Linked DNA regions of Neurospora crassa OR74A. The protein of the gene in region 1 binds, or shares a complex with, the protein of each later gene. Links are inferred from orthologs where the notes say so. Each region holds a gene or a part of one and is shown in the gene's direction. Other genes may lie near its edges.

The links.
Region 2: NCU07831 (region 1) and NCU02813 share a complex: the UniProt entries of both Schizosaccharomyces pombe proteins name them as parts of the eukaryotic translation initiation factor 3 (eIF-3) complex. The link is inferred for Neurospora crassa OR74A from reciprocal best matches to the Schizosaccharomyces pombe genes tif303 and tif313.

The regions. Positions count from the first base shown.
Region 1 is NC_026503.1:1,002,413-1,008,576, reverse strand, and holds NCU07831 (eukaryotic translation initiation factor 3), read left to right. Parts: upstream 1-2,061; 5' UTR 2,062-2,368; coding exon 2,369-2,741; intron 2,742-2,815; coding exon 2,816-3,798; intron 3,799-3,856; coding exon 3,857-5,119; 3' UTR 5,120-5,552; downstream 5,553-6,164. Other genes in the region: NCU07832 (pre-mRNA processing splicing factor 8), read right to left, coding at 1-1,009. UniProt on the Schizosaccharomyces pombe protein: Component of the eukaryotic translation initiation factor 3 (eIF-3) complex, which is involved in protein synthesis of a specialized repertoire of mRNAs and, together with other initiation factors, stimulates binding of mRNA and methionyl-tRNAi to the 40S ribosome.
Region 2 is NC_026501.1:9,033,186-9,039,302, forward strand, and holds NCU02813 (eukaryotic translation initiation factor 3 subunit M), read left to right. Parts: upstream 1-2,497; 5' UTR 2,498-2,953; coding exon 2,954-3,495; intron 3,496-3,567; coding exon 3,568-4,330; 3' UTR 4,331-4,785; downstream 4,786-6,117. Other genes in the region: prd-4 (serine/threonine-protein kinase chk2), read right to left, coding at 1-99, 154-730, 875-919; NCU02812 (uridylate kinase), read right to left, coding at 5,156-5,835. UniProt on the Schizosaccharomyces pombe protein: Component of the eukaryotic translation initiation factor 3 (eIF-3) complex, which is involved in protein synthesis of a specialized repertoire of mRNAs and, together with other initiation factors, stimulates binding of mRNA and methionyl-tRNAi to the 40S ribosome.

The DNA.
Region 1 (6,164 bases):
ACTCTGTTCGGATAGGGTTCCTGAAGATGATGCGATCCATAGCATTGAACTCGCCAAAATCCTCATCATTGGGGTCAATGTCCTTGTAAAGTGGCTCGAAGCGAGGCCCGCCTGGTAAAGCCGCATTCAGGGCCTTTGCTGTGAGGAAACTCTTGAGCTCAAAGAGGTAGTAGTAGTTCTTGTCGACAACCTCAGACACCAACGGTCGGCTTAGACGGTATAAACTCGCCATTTGCGGCAGGGTGAGATTCCACTTCTTGTAACTGGGCCCGTTGACGTGGGGCGTGTCGAGAAGCGGCTTGTGGTCATAGAACCACTCATAGATTGCTGCTTCTTCGTCCTCATCCAACTCCATCTGAATGGGTTCAAGTGGCTCGACGTCCTCGATGTTCTCGGACCAGGACAGGGGCGGTTCTTCGTCGTCGAAAGGTGGAAATCGCATGCGCTTGAATAGCCGGCGGTCGCTCTTTTCCTTGCGCATTACCGTCCACATACTGGCCCACTGTGCAAAGAAGACGGGCTCAATGACTCTCGGGATCTCATTCACAAGGGTCAGACAGCCGTTGACGTGATAGAGAACCTTGACCTCTCTGGCAGCCTCCCAAGGCATGGGCATGTTCTCGAGCAGCTTCAGCACAGCATGGGGCATGAACTTGAGCGCCCCAAGATAGCTGCGCTTGTCACTGGTGTACTTTTTCTGCGAAACATCCCCAATATCCTTGACGATCTTCCGCAAGTGCTCTGGTGGCATGTCGGCCTTTTCCGTCTCAACAAATCCGCCCTTCCTCTTCTCGCCGAAGCGATTTCTCTGCATGCGAAGCCATTCCTTCTTCTTCTGGGCGAACTTGGCAACATGAGGGTCGGTTGGTGGAAAGAACCCAGGCGGCGGCGGTGCTGGGAGGGCAGGAGGAGGTGGGAGAGAGGACGGAGGCGGCGGCGGCGGAGGTGCTGATGGCGGCGGAGGAGCGCCCCAGCCGGGGGGAGGAGGTGGTGGTGGCGGATAGGACATTTTTTCGATTTCTGCTTGATGAAGCTTTGTTGACGTTTATGTGGTTGTTTCGTTGTAATCGTCTTCGTCAGAAGCGTGTACCAGTCGGCGTTGGCGACGAGATGGATAGAAGGCTGGATACCGTGAAGTCGCCTGTCCGCGCGATGGCGGTTTGCAGTCCGCGTGCGTCGTTCCAAGGCCTGTCTCGCTGAGGAAGAGAAAAAAGGACTGGCAAATATTAGATTCCCATTGGTTTTAGATGGAAATGGGCGTAGGTCGACCTCGCACCAAATCGCGGCGATGGTCGATCAAGCTGAGAATGGAGAGGTGGATGTTGTATTCGTGAAAGTGTGGTTTGGTGGCGCCAGGATGCTGGCGTTGACGTTGGCAGGTTGGCCTCGTTACGAAAAACTTGAACAGCCTCGCGACAGCTGCGTGGGCGGTCGATAAAGTTCAGAGGTCAGGGCGGGCGGTCCAGGTCCTGGCGCGCAAAACGGGAAACCTGGCAGCGGGATTCTTCGCTGTGCAGGTGCTTGTTGGCAGCTGCAGCCCGGTAGCGTCCCCGCCACTCCAGTTAGTGAAAGAGGGCCTGGGGTTGGTTGCCTGCAGCGACTGGGCAGGCTGGGCTGTCACTTCTCGACTTCGTGGCGAAACGTCTCCTGTTACGTACTGTAACTTTCGATACGCAATCCCCGTTACGTGGTAGATCTGGCTTGACAAGCTCACAGCACGTCTCAGATGCATGTAACCGAGTATAGTGATACATTATCAGTTCAGGTAGCTGATACATTGAAGGTGGGGCATCAGCTGGCTGGCTGTTTGCGCCCAAGTACCCAGACGACAGGTGTTGAATCTCATAGTGAAGGCCTGACAAAGCAATGCTTGATATTGTTCCCTCGCTCCGCTCGCCAAAGTATACACAAAAACCCGTTCCTCTGACAGATCCCTCATGCGAACATCTGCAAGGTTCAGACCTTATCTTCATCTTCTAGGAATCCCGTCCTGCGATCTCCAAGCGGAAGCAGGTACATTCAGCTCATAAGTTCAGCCTCCCCCCCGCGGAGCAAGTATCCTCTCCCCCCACACCCCTTGCTCGGATTAAGTCATACCCAATCATTACAGCGCTCGAGGCCCAAACAGCTCCGCTCGATTCGCTAAGCCCCAAATCGCCCCCACCAAAACGGCCTTTCAGTGAAAATTAATTCTTTGACCCCTCTGTCCGCCTCGCCGCAGCCGGGTTTTGCTTTGCCAACCATCCGGACCATCACCACTTCCGTCCACCACTCCAAGTACCCATACCGGTAACCCGGACTTCTGCATCGCGCCCATACCCCCGGAACCCGCATATTTATTCCGAGTCTATCGAAAGAGACCGCAACCATGTCTCGTTTCTTCCGCGGCGGTGACGACAGCTCCACCGACAGCAGCTCCGAGGAGGAGGAGGTCTACACTTCGGAGGAGGAGGAGGAGAAGGTTCAGGCCGAGGACGAGTCTTCGTCTGAGGAGGAGTCTGACGAGGAGGAGAGCGACGAGGAGTCCAGCAGCGACGAGGAAGAAGGAACCAAGAAGAAGGGTGCCTCCCGTTTCTTGCAGAGCGACGACGAGTCCGAGGAGGAGGAGGAAGAGCAGAGCGACGATGAAGCCACCACCAAGGTCAAGAGCGCCAAGGACAAGCGCTTCGACGAACTCGAGTCCACCATCAGCCAGATCCAGAACGGCCAGAAGATCAACGACTGGAGTCTTATCGCCAACGGTTCGTATATCTTTCATGCATGCATACACCCTCGATATGTCCTGCACCGATACTTACTCCCCTCCCCGCTTTAGAATTCGACAAGCTCAACCGTCAGGTCGTCAAGCTCCAAGATGGCAGCAAGGCGCCCAAGTCCTACATCAAGGCCATTGCCGATCTTGAGGACTTCATGAACGAGACTCTCGCCAAGCAAAAGGTCACTCCCAAGAAGATGAACGCGACAAATGCCCGTGGTCTCAACGCCGTCAAGCAGCGCATCCGCAAGAACAATAAGGAGTACCAGACCCAGATCGATGCCTACAGGAAGGATGCGGACGCTTTCATGGAGTCGGATGATGAGGTTGCCGCGCCCAAGGTTGTTTCCAAGGTCCGGTTCGAGGCTCCCGTCGTCAGTGCTGAGCAGCAGGAAGAGGACGACAAGGGCTTCTCTACGGTCGATTCGCGCGGCAAGGTTGTTCAGTACACCCCCGAGAGCATCCTCAAGCACCTCCGCGCCATTATCGAGTCTCGCGGCAAGAAGAACACCGACCGCCTCGAGCAGATCAAGGTTATGGAGACCCTCAACAAGGTCGTCCCCATTACCCCTTACCAGAAGATCCGTGTCCTCCAGACCCTTATTTCTGCCCGCTTCGATCTTGGTGCTGGTGGCGCCGCCCAGATGCCTTTGGACCAGTGGAAGGCCGCTGAGCGTGACCTTGCCTCTCTCTTGGAGATCCTCGAGAAGGAGAAGGACCATGTTGTTGTTGAGGGCGCTGAGGAGTGGGATGATGATGACAAGCTCCCCACCATCCCCGAGGGTGAGAAGTACCTCAAGGTTCCCGGCAGCGTTGTCTCGCTCATTGAGCGTCTCGATGACGAGCTCACCCGCTCCCTCCAAGCCATCGATCCTCACACCTCTGAGTACATCGACAGGCTAACCGATGAGGGCTCTCTTTACAACACCATCTTCCGTGGTCTTCTTTACTACGAGCACCTCCGCAAGGATGCTTCCCTCGAGGTTCCCCAGGAGAGCTTGAACCGCATCATCCAGAGGCGTCTGGACCATGTTTACTACAAGGTATGTATAGAGCTAATGCTGGAATACTCAGCCGTCTTTGCTAATCATCTTCTTTCAGCCCGCCCAAGTCGTCAAGATCCTCGAGGAGAACGCGTGGAAGCAGGTTTCTGCTGAGGCCGATTCTGAAATTACCCCCCGCAGCCAATCCGGCGATGCTGGCAAGCTCATCAACATCCTTTCTAACTACCTGTTCGAGAACAGCGAGGGCATCATCCGCGCCCGTGCCATGCTTTGCCAGATCTACTTCTTGGCTCTGCACGATGAGTACTACAAGTCTCGCGACCTGATGCTCACTTCCCATCTTCAGGAGACTATCGCCAACTTCGACATCGCCACCCAGATTCTCTACAACCGCACCCTCGTTCAGGTCGGCCTTTGCGCTTTCCGCAAGGGTCTCGTCTACGACGCCCAGAACACCCTCCAGGAGATCTGCGGCAGTGGCCGTCAAAAGGAGCTTCTTGCTCAGGGCGTCATGATCCAGCGTTACAGCCAGGTCACCCCTGAGCAGGAGCGCCTCGAGAAGCAGCGCCAGCTTCCCTTCCACATGCACATCAACCTCGAGCTCCTTGAGTGCGTCTACCTTACCTGCAGCATGCTCCTCGAGATTCCTCTGCTCGCCCAAACCGGTTCTTCGCCCGATGTCAAGAAGAGGATCATCAGCAAGACCTACCGCCGTATGCTCGAGTACCATGAACGCCAGATCTTTACCGGGCCTCCGGAGAACACCAGGGATCACGTCATGCAGGCCTCCAAGGCCCTTGCTGCTGGTGAGTGGAAGAAGGCCACCGACTTCATTCACAGCATCAAGATCTGGGACTTGATGCCGAACACCGAGGGTATCAAGACCATGCTCGCCAAGCAGATCCAGGAGGAGGGTCTCCGTACCTACCTCTTCACCTATGCTCCTTTCTACGACACTCTCGCCATTGCTACCCTCAGCTCCATGTTTGAGCTCGACTCTCGCAAGGTCTCTGCTGTCGTCAGCAAGATGATCAGCCACGAGGAGCTCGCGGCTGCTCTTGACCAGGTCACCGAGACCGTCATCTTCCGCAAGGGTGTTGAGCTCAGCCGTCTCCAGAGCTTGGCTCTCACTCTCTCCGACAAGGCCAGCTCCCTTATTGAGACCAACGAGCGTACGCTCGAGCAGAAGACACAGGGCTCCGCCAACGCCTTCTCCAGGAAGGACAACCGTGGCGGTGGCCAGCGTGGTGGTGGCCAGCGTGGTGGCAGAGGTGGCGCGAGGACGGGCGGCAACCCTCAACGGCAGGCCGGTGGTACACAGTTCACTGGTGGTGCTCTGGGTAATGCGGTCCGTGGTTAAAGCTCTGTGGAATAGGGAAATTGGTGGTTTTCGTTTTGCTATTGCATTGGGCTTTGGTGTGTGACTAAAAAGCAATTCCCCAGGTCTTCTAATGGTGCTATCCCCTTGAATGTGTTGCCCCATGGTTAGACCCAGCGAAGTTTAGTCTAGAATCATAGGTTCTCTCGGTTTAATTTGTGTTTTTGGTTCGGGCATAGCTTCACTCAAAATTGCGCGTTTGATATTTTCTTCATGATGTGTTAGTTTATCATATGGAAATTGTCTGAACCTGTGTATAATGTACACCATGTCAACCTGAGTATTCTTACAGCCAACCCGAAACGAGTAGTATTTGATGAAAAGGTTTGCTCTATCTCTCGTATGAACAAGACTTAGTTCCACGGCTACTAACTTACGTAGTACCTGTGTATAGGATGAGCCTGTTGGAAAATCGTGATCATTATTCTGGGTGAGCCACACGGGATACATCCAACCGACGTTTGATGAGGCGCTATGATTTGCATTGGGCCGCTTTATCATTACTCTAGGTAAGCTCAAGAGACCGAAATTTCGGGATAATAACAATGTTGAAAGGCTTCATTACCAGACCGAAGTTCCCCCAGCTTAGCCCATACACAAGACAGCATCTGATGAGGTTACATGCCAGCATGATAATAGTGAGATCTTGGGTCTCAGCCAAGTAGAAATGTTTAAATATACGATATATGTCACAGTCAACGACTGTCAAGTTGTGAATGAGGCAGTTCGAACAAAAGCGACTCTCTGTAGAGCCAGCCGCTCCGAGCGAAAACATCTGTATGACTTGAGAGTGCAGCCTGATCTTGGTCATAAGGCAAGCTGAAGATCTGTGTGTGTCAAGCATGACGCGGAGAGAGATGGAGAGGACCACGGAGAAGCCCTTGTGAAAAGTCTGTTCTCTTCCTACAGGAACGGGTGCCGCACATGAATCGTAAGACGGTTTAGTACTGGGTAACTTCGCTCCATTATCATCATGTACCTATTGCGGTCAAGTAATGGTGCCAAGCAAGAATGTGAAGCAGACAGA
Region 2 (6,117 bases), on another chromosome or scaffold:
TCGACAGATCCTCTAATACGGCGATGGTATCGTTGCCCTTGTTCTCTGTGAAGATGATGCAGTGCCGGTTCGAAACGATGGGGTCCTCTATTTGGATGTCTAATGTCATGTTAGCATGGTGGCGTTTAGCTGGGATTGTACAGGTGAACCAACCGCATTCCGGGTGTCGGCCGATCAGATAGCCACCGGATGGAAGTCCCTTGACCTTGGTCTTGTCCAAATCGTGCTCCTCCTTGATCAGCGCCTTCTGGCCGCGTTTACCTCTCTTGGAGCCAACCGCCTGTGAGACGGTATCTGGAAGGGGACAAGCGGCCCTCCTCCTCAAGACGACACAGCGGCCGCCGTACCTAGGATCCAAGGGAAACAGGTAGCCCCAAACTCCCTCCTTGACTTCATCCTCGACCTCGTCCGACAATGCCTTGTCGAGATCGGGCAACTGGCTAAAGGCTTGAGTGTCATTGAGCTGGGACGCTTGCGACTGAGAATGTTGGTTTTCTGGGCGAGGGCTGATTTGCGACAGCTGGCTGGGACGGCCGGCTGGAGGGGTGGCAGTGGGCTCTTTGGAATCCTGTGGGAATTCATCGGAGTCGTGGGTGACTGGAGAGGGTAATTGTTTGGTGGTCTTGAGGGGCGTCTTCTGCTTGGGTTCGGGGCTGTCGCCGGTGCGCTGGGAGGAGAGGCGCTCGGAGCGACGGGGTTTCTTGAAGGAATCGTTGTCGTCGGTAGAACCCTGAAGTAAAGCGCATATTAGTCGACGGAGCATGCTTGGTGGTGACGCAATGCGCCATGGACTACCTAATCAAAAGCTCGAGGTATAATGTAGTCATGACATAGCATGACATGACATATGGGATGGGGGAGTGGATGGACGTACGCGAGCTCTCTTAAGAGTGCTGCTGCCTTCAGCTCGGGGAGCCATGGCTGCTGGGATTGTAGGGCAACGAGTCGAGTGGTGTGTTGGTCAGTCAATGCCGGAGCTGAGGATTCGATTCAAAAGAGAGGATCTCAAATGATCAAGTGGCGGGATGGTGTGTTCCAGGAAGGTTGTATGTAGAGTAGAGTGGAAAAAGATGGGGTGGTGGTGGTGGTGGTGGTGACGGCGCCGGGCTGGGGAGAATGACTGACTGAGTGAACTGAATGATGCTACTGTGCAGTTCGCGAGGGACTGGGATAGGCCGCGGGCAGTGCTAAGGTATTGGGGGGGGGGGGGGCCTCCACCAGAAAGCAACCATACAACGTCAGGGACTCACAGTGTACATTACCTTACAACCTAGGCCTTGATGACCGCGCCCCAAGTGGAAGCTTCCCTTTTCCTCACTTTCTTCCACTTTTTCGCTTGGAAATCACGCCGCGCCTCGCCATAACTCCACTCTTTTGGCGCGTCTAAGTCAACAAATCCACAGAAAGGGAAACAGCATCCAGTTGACAACATTGATTTTATTCAGTGCTCTATGAAATATCCACGTGTATATACAATCTGAGTTATACCCCCACGGGGCTTTGTTTACTGTTGCTGTCTCTGTACGCTAGGTACACTTGTTGACTTTCTTTCGGCGGTGCACACCCTCAGCCCTGGTTGAATGTCACCATGTGCATTGCATACATAGTAGCGTAGGGCTGGTTGGTCATCACTCTTTTTCTCGGGAATCTATTGTGGGTTCATTGTGACTCTTCACCATCCTTCTGGGCTGTCAGGCGTGCCGGTCATTTGTTATTTTGAGACTCCCATCACGTCAGTGGAAAAGGGAAGGAGCTGATACAATATCCTCAGGCTGTAATGGAAGGTGGCCGTTGCCCGGGTCACCACCACACTTTTAAGTGTCTGCCTGGATATCCGATTCGGATGCCCCGTGACCCCCTCTTTGCTTCCCGCTTCTGTTTGTGTTTTAGGTGACCTAGCTTACAAAGGTGACTGTTGCAACTGGCTAGAGTCCCATTTTTGTCCTGATGGATACGATGGTGAAAAGTCGAAAAGAAAATATTCGATGATGTAGCGAGTTCAATAGTTTTGTTTTGATGCAGCCGAATACTCCAATCAAGGTGTGTCGTCATTCCCGTGGTTGATATCTCCACAGCCCACGGCAAGTAACTGCGAACCTCGATCGAGTGCATCACATCATATAGGAAATCATATTGTTCGAGTGGTCAGAAATCTCGACTTGGATAATGGATTTGTCAAGTTCGAATCCTTCGATTATTCATCAGGTGCGTTTGTTGATATCCATGTAAGAGAATCATGGATGGGAATGTGACTTTAAGAAGATCGGATTTGGAGAAGCTGGGGACAATGTCAAGCGCACGGTGACAAGCAAAGGAAAAGGGACTGAAGCCCGGGAGCTTGACATTGTCAAAGACCTCGCTGGGACGGACCACCCCATGGGTCAGGGTTTTCTATGTCACAAGCAGATGACTGCAATAACCCTGACCATCGACACAGCTCCTGCACGTGACTGGCTGGAGCACACAGAACAGCTCTTCTTCAGCACAGGGCAAAAATAGGCGGTGGGCTTGGCATTGGAATGCGGGGCATTTTTTTGCTTTGAGAAATTGGGTCGAGGGTCCGGTCAGGTCTCTGTCGTCCATGGGATGAGAGAGGGACACCACACCACTCAGCGAGTCGAGGCCCAGGAACTGTGCAAAGAAAAAGAAAGAGCGGAGCCCTGCCACTAAGAAAACTTCCTTTGGGGCCCGCCCCTCCCTCCCACGTCTGACAGGATATCCGTATCGTTTCCGGCCAGTGTCGACCTTTAGCACCAGGACATACTATCAGATTGTCCCCGGCCATATTTTCCCCGTCGCCGTGTCCCCCGTCCGTCCCTGACTCCGTCCCGCCGTGTGTCTCGCCTCAACCCGACCTCACTCCAGCCTTGAGGTCCAAGTGGGAATAGTTCGATAGCCCCGTCGTCAAACAACCACACACGCACACACACACACACCGTCAACACCCATCAACATGGCTACCCCCCAGTTGATCTTCGTCGACGGCACCTTCGCCGAGCTGGCGCAGGAGATGGCCGACTTCGTCCAGGTCGGCGAGCAGGTCCAGCCTCTCCTCGAGCAGGACAAGCGCGAGGATGCCCTTGACCTCATCGTCAAGGCCTCCCACTCCCTCAACGCCGCCCCCGAGAAGGACTTCACCCCCGCCTACAACCTCCTCATCCACCTCGTCCTCCAGTCCGAGGAGCCCAAGAAGTACCTGCCCACCCTGTGCGCCAACCTTCTCAAGCCCATCACCTCGTCTCCCACCCACGGCTTCACCCTGGCCTCCAATGCGCTCACCACCATCTTCAACCTCCTCGACAAGTCCAACCCGCTGCGCTTCAATGTCTTTATGCAGATCGTCCGCTTCATCAGGCAAAACAGCCAGTTCGACCTCCTCAAGCCCAGGTTAAAGAACGTCGAGGGCTGGCTCCAGGAATGGAAGTCCGACTCGGAGAGCCAGCGCAAGCTCTACGTCGAGGTTTCCGATGCCGCCAACGACGGCGGTGATCAGGAGTGAGTATTTTACCTTTTATAGCATCATGCATTGTGCACCTTTACGGCTTCATGCTAACCTTTGGTCTGCAGGGAGTCCTACTTCTACCTCCTCAAGGCTCTGGCCACTTTCGACCGCGACAACCAGGACGAGGTCGCCTCCGACGAGGCCCAGAAGCTCTCCCTCCGCGCCCTCCGCATGGCCATCTCGTCGCCCACCCGCTTCGACTTCAACGACCTGCGCTCGCTCCCCTCGGTCCACGCCCTGAGCGACTCGCACCCCGTCTACTCGCAGCTCCTCGACATCTTCACCGAGCAGGACCTCGAGGACTACAACGACTTTAGGGACGAGCACCAGGGATGGATCGAGAACGAGAAGCTCGACCACGAGAAGCTGCAGCGCAAGATGCGCCTGCTCACCTTTGCGTCGCTCGCCGCCAGCACCCCGAACCGCGAGATCCCCTACGCCAGCATCGCCAAGGCCCTCCAAATCCCCGACGAGGACGTCGAGATGTGGACCATTGACGTGATCCGCTCCAAGCTGGTCGAGGGCCGCCTGTCACAGAAGCAAAAGGTGTTCTTGGTTCACCGCACCACCTACCGCGTCTTTGGCGAGAAGCAGTGGCGCGAGCTCGGCACCCGCGTCGACCAGTTCAAGACGGTCGTCGATAGGCTCGTCGGCGTCGTGCGCAAGGCCCAGACCGATGTCGAGGCCCAGCGTGAGCGTGAGCAGCAGGAGCTCGAGCGCAAGCTGGCCAACGCCGGTCTTGGCGAGTCGGAGCAGCGCGGCGGCAACCGGGGAGGACGTACCGGCGGTGCCAGACAGACGAGGCAACGCACGGATGATGATGACTGAAGGGGGGTTGCCAACAGGATGTTTTGCTGCAATAATTGGTTGTTGTTGTTAGTAGCATAGAGATATGGGGGGACCTTTCAAAAAGAAAAAAGAGCGATGTCTTGCCCCTGTATCATCCCGCTCGGTCATCAGTTCAGTTCAGTTCATTCGAATGGGAAAGGAATTCTACATCAAAACGGGTTGTTGTTGTTATCTATCAAGGAGTTGTGAGCCCCAAAAAAATACGGAACACTATTTTCAAGGTAGAGCTGCTACACTTTTTGGCGGATTTGCATTTTTGTTGTTGTTGTATCATTCCGAGGAATGGCAGCTTTAGATATCCAGCAATCATCAGGTTTTCTCTCTCCATTTATACATCAGTGATGGATGATATGATGCGTGAGGGCAAATCCAGAAAGGTGGAGTATAGATCATGATACCCAGGATATACAAGGCAACGGAAGCGTAATATCAATGCTTTTTGAGACAAGGTCTATGACCACCAGCAGCAAAGGGAACAATGAATCATCATGCTCAGGCTTCCCAACGATGAATAGTATAAACGCAATACCAAGCCATCTCGACATCTGGAAAAAGACAGAGCAAGTTCAATTTCCAAACGGGAGAAAACCATCCCCATCCATCCACGAACCGCCTCCGCGACTCCATCGCTCCGTCCCTTTCCAATAAATCTGTAGTAGTGTATAGTATTTTAAAAGTTTTTATCTAATGGAACGGCCAACCCCATCTCAGAATTAGTACCTAGAAACCAAGTTTACCTCAACCCCCCATCCCATCCCCGGAGTAAGACAAGTCAAGTCAATCCCCCCCCCCCCCCTACACTAACTAAAACTTATCCCCAAACACCCTCCTCAGCTGCTTTCTCGTCTCCTCATACACCTTCTCCGGCCCCGGCGTCGAATCCACCTTGACCACCTTTCCTTCCCTCTCATAGTGATCCACAACCGGCATGCTCGTCTCCACAAACGTCCTGAACCGCTTCCTGATACTCTCGGCATTATCATCTTCACGCCCGCTCGTCTTGCCTCTTTCCAGCAGTCTCTTCTCCATTTCTTGTTCCGGGCAATCATAGAACAACACCATTTTCGCAGGGCAAACGACCTCTTCGAACTTGACAGCTTGGTCCATCTTGCGCGGGAAGCCATCAATCAGGAACCTGCCTGTCTTGGTTTTGCCAGAGACCAGAGTGTCGCGCATGGCGTTCTCGAGAAGGGCCACGGTGACTTCCATGGGGACGATGGCGCCGTTCTTGATGCAGTCCCGGATAAGCTGGCCGTATTGGGAACCCGGGCGGTCTTGTTCGGCGCGGAGTAGGTCGCCGGCCGAGAGGTGGGTGAAGCCGTAGTCGCGCACGAGACGGGCGCATTGGGTGCCTTTGCCGGCGCCGGGGCCGCCGAGGACGAAGATGACGGTTACGTCGGAGGGGGAGAAGGCGGGGGTTGTGGTTGTGGCGGGAGCGGGAGCAGCCGCGGCTGAGGAGGAGGAGGTGGGGTTGGGAGGCATGTCTAGGTGTGTGATCGGGGGTGGTTAGCTTTGTTGTTGTTTTGAGGACGGTTTATATGTTGGTGGTAGGTAAAATAGGGAGGTAGGTAGAGAGGTAAGTGGTGGTGAGCTTTCCACTTAGTTTAGGAACTACCTCTAGGTAGGTGGTGGGTTGTGTCGGACGTTTCATCTCGTCTCGTCTCGTCTTGTCTCGTCTGACAAAGCCGCAGGGCGGCAGCAGCAGCAGCAGCAGCAGCAGCAGCAGCAAAGCAGCCAGCAGCAGGGAGTTAAGAGAGCGACTGGAC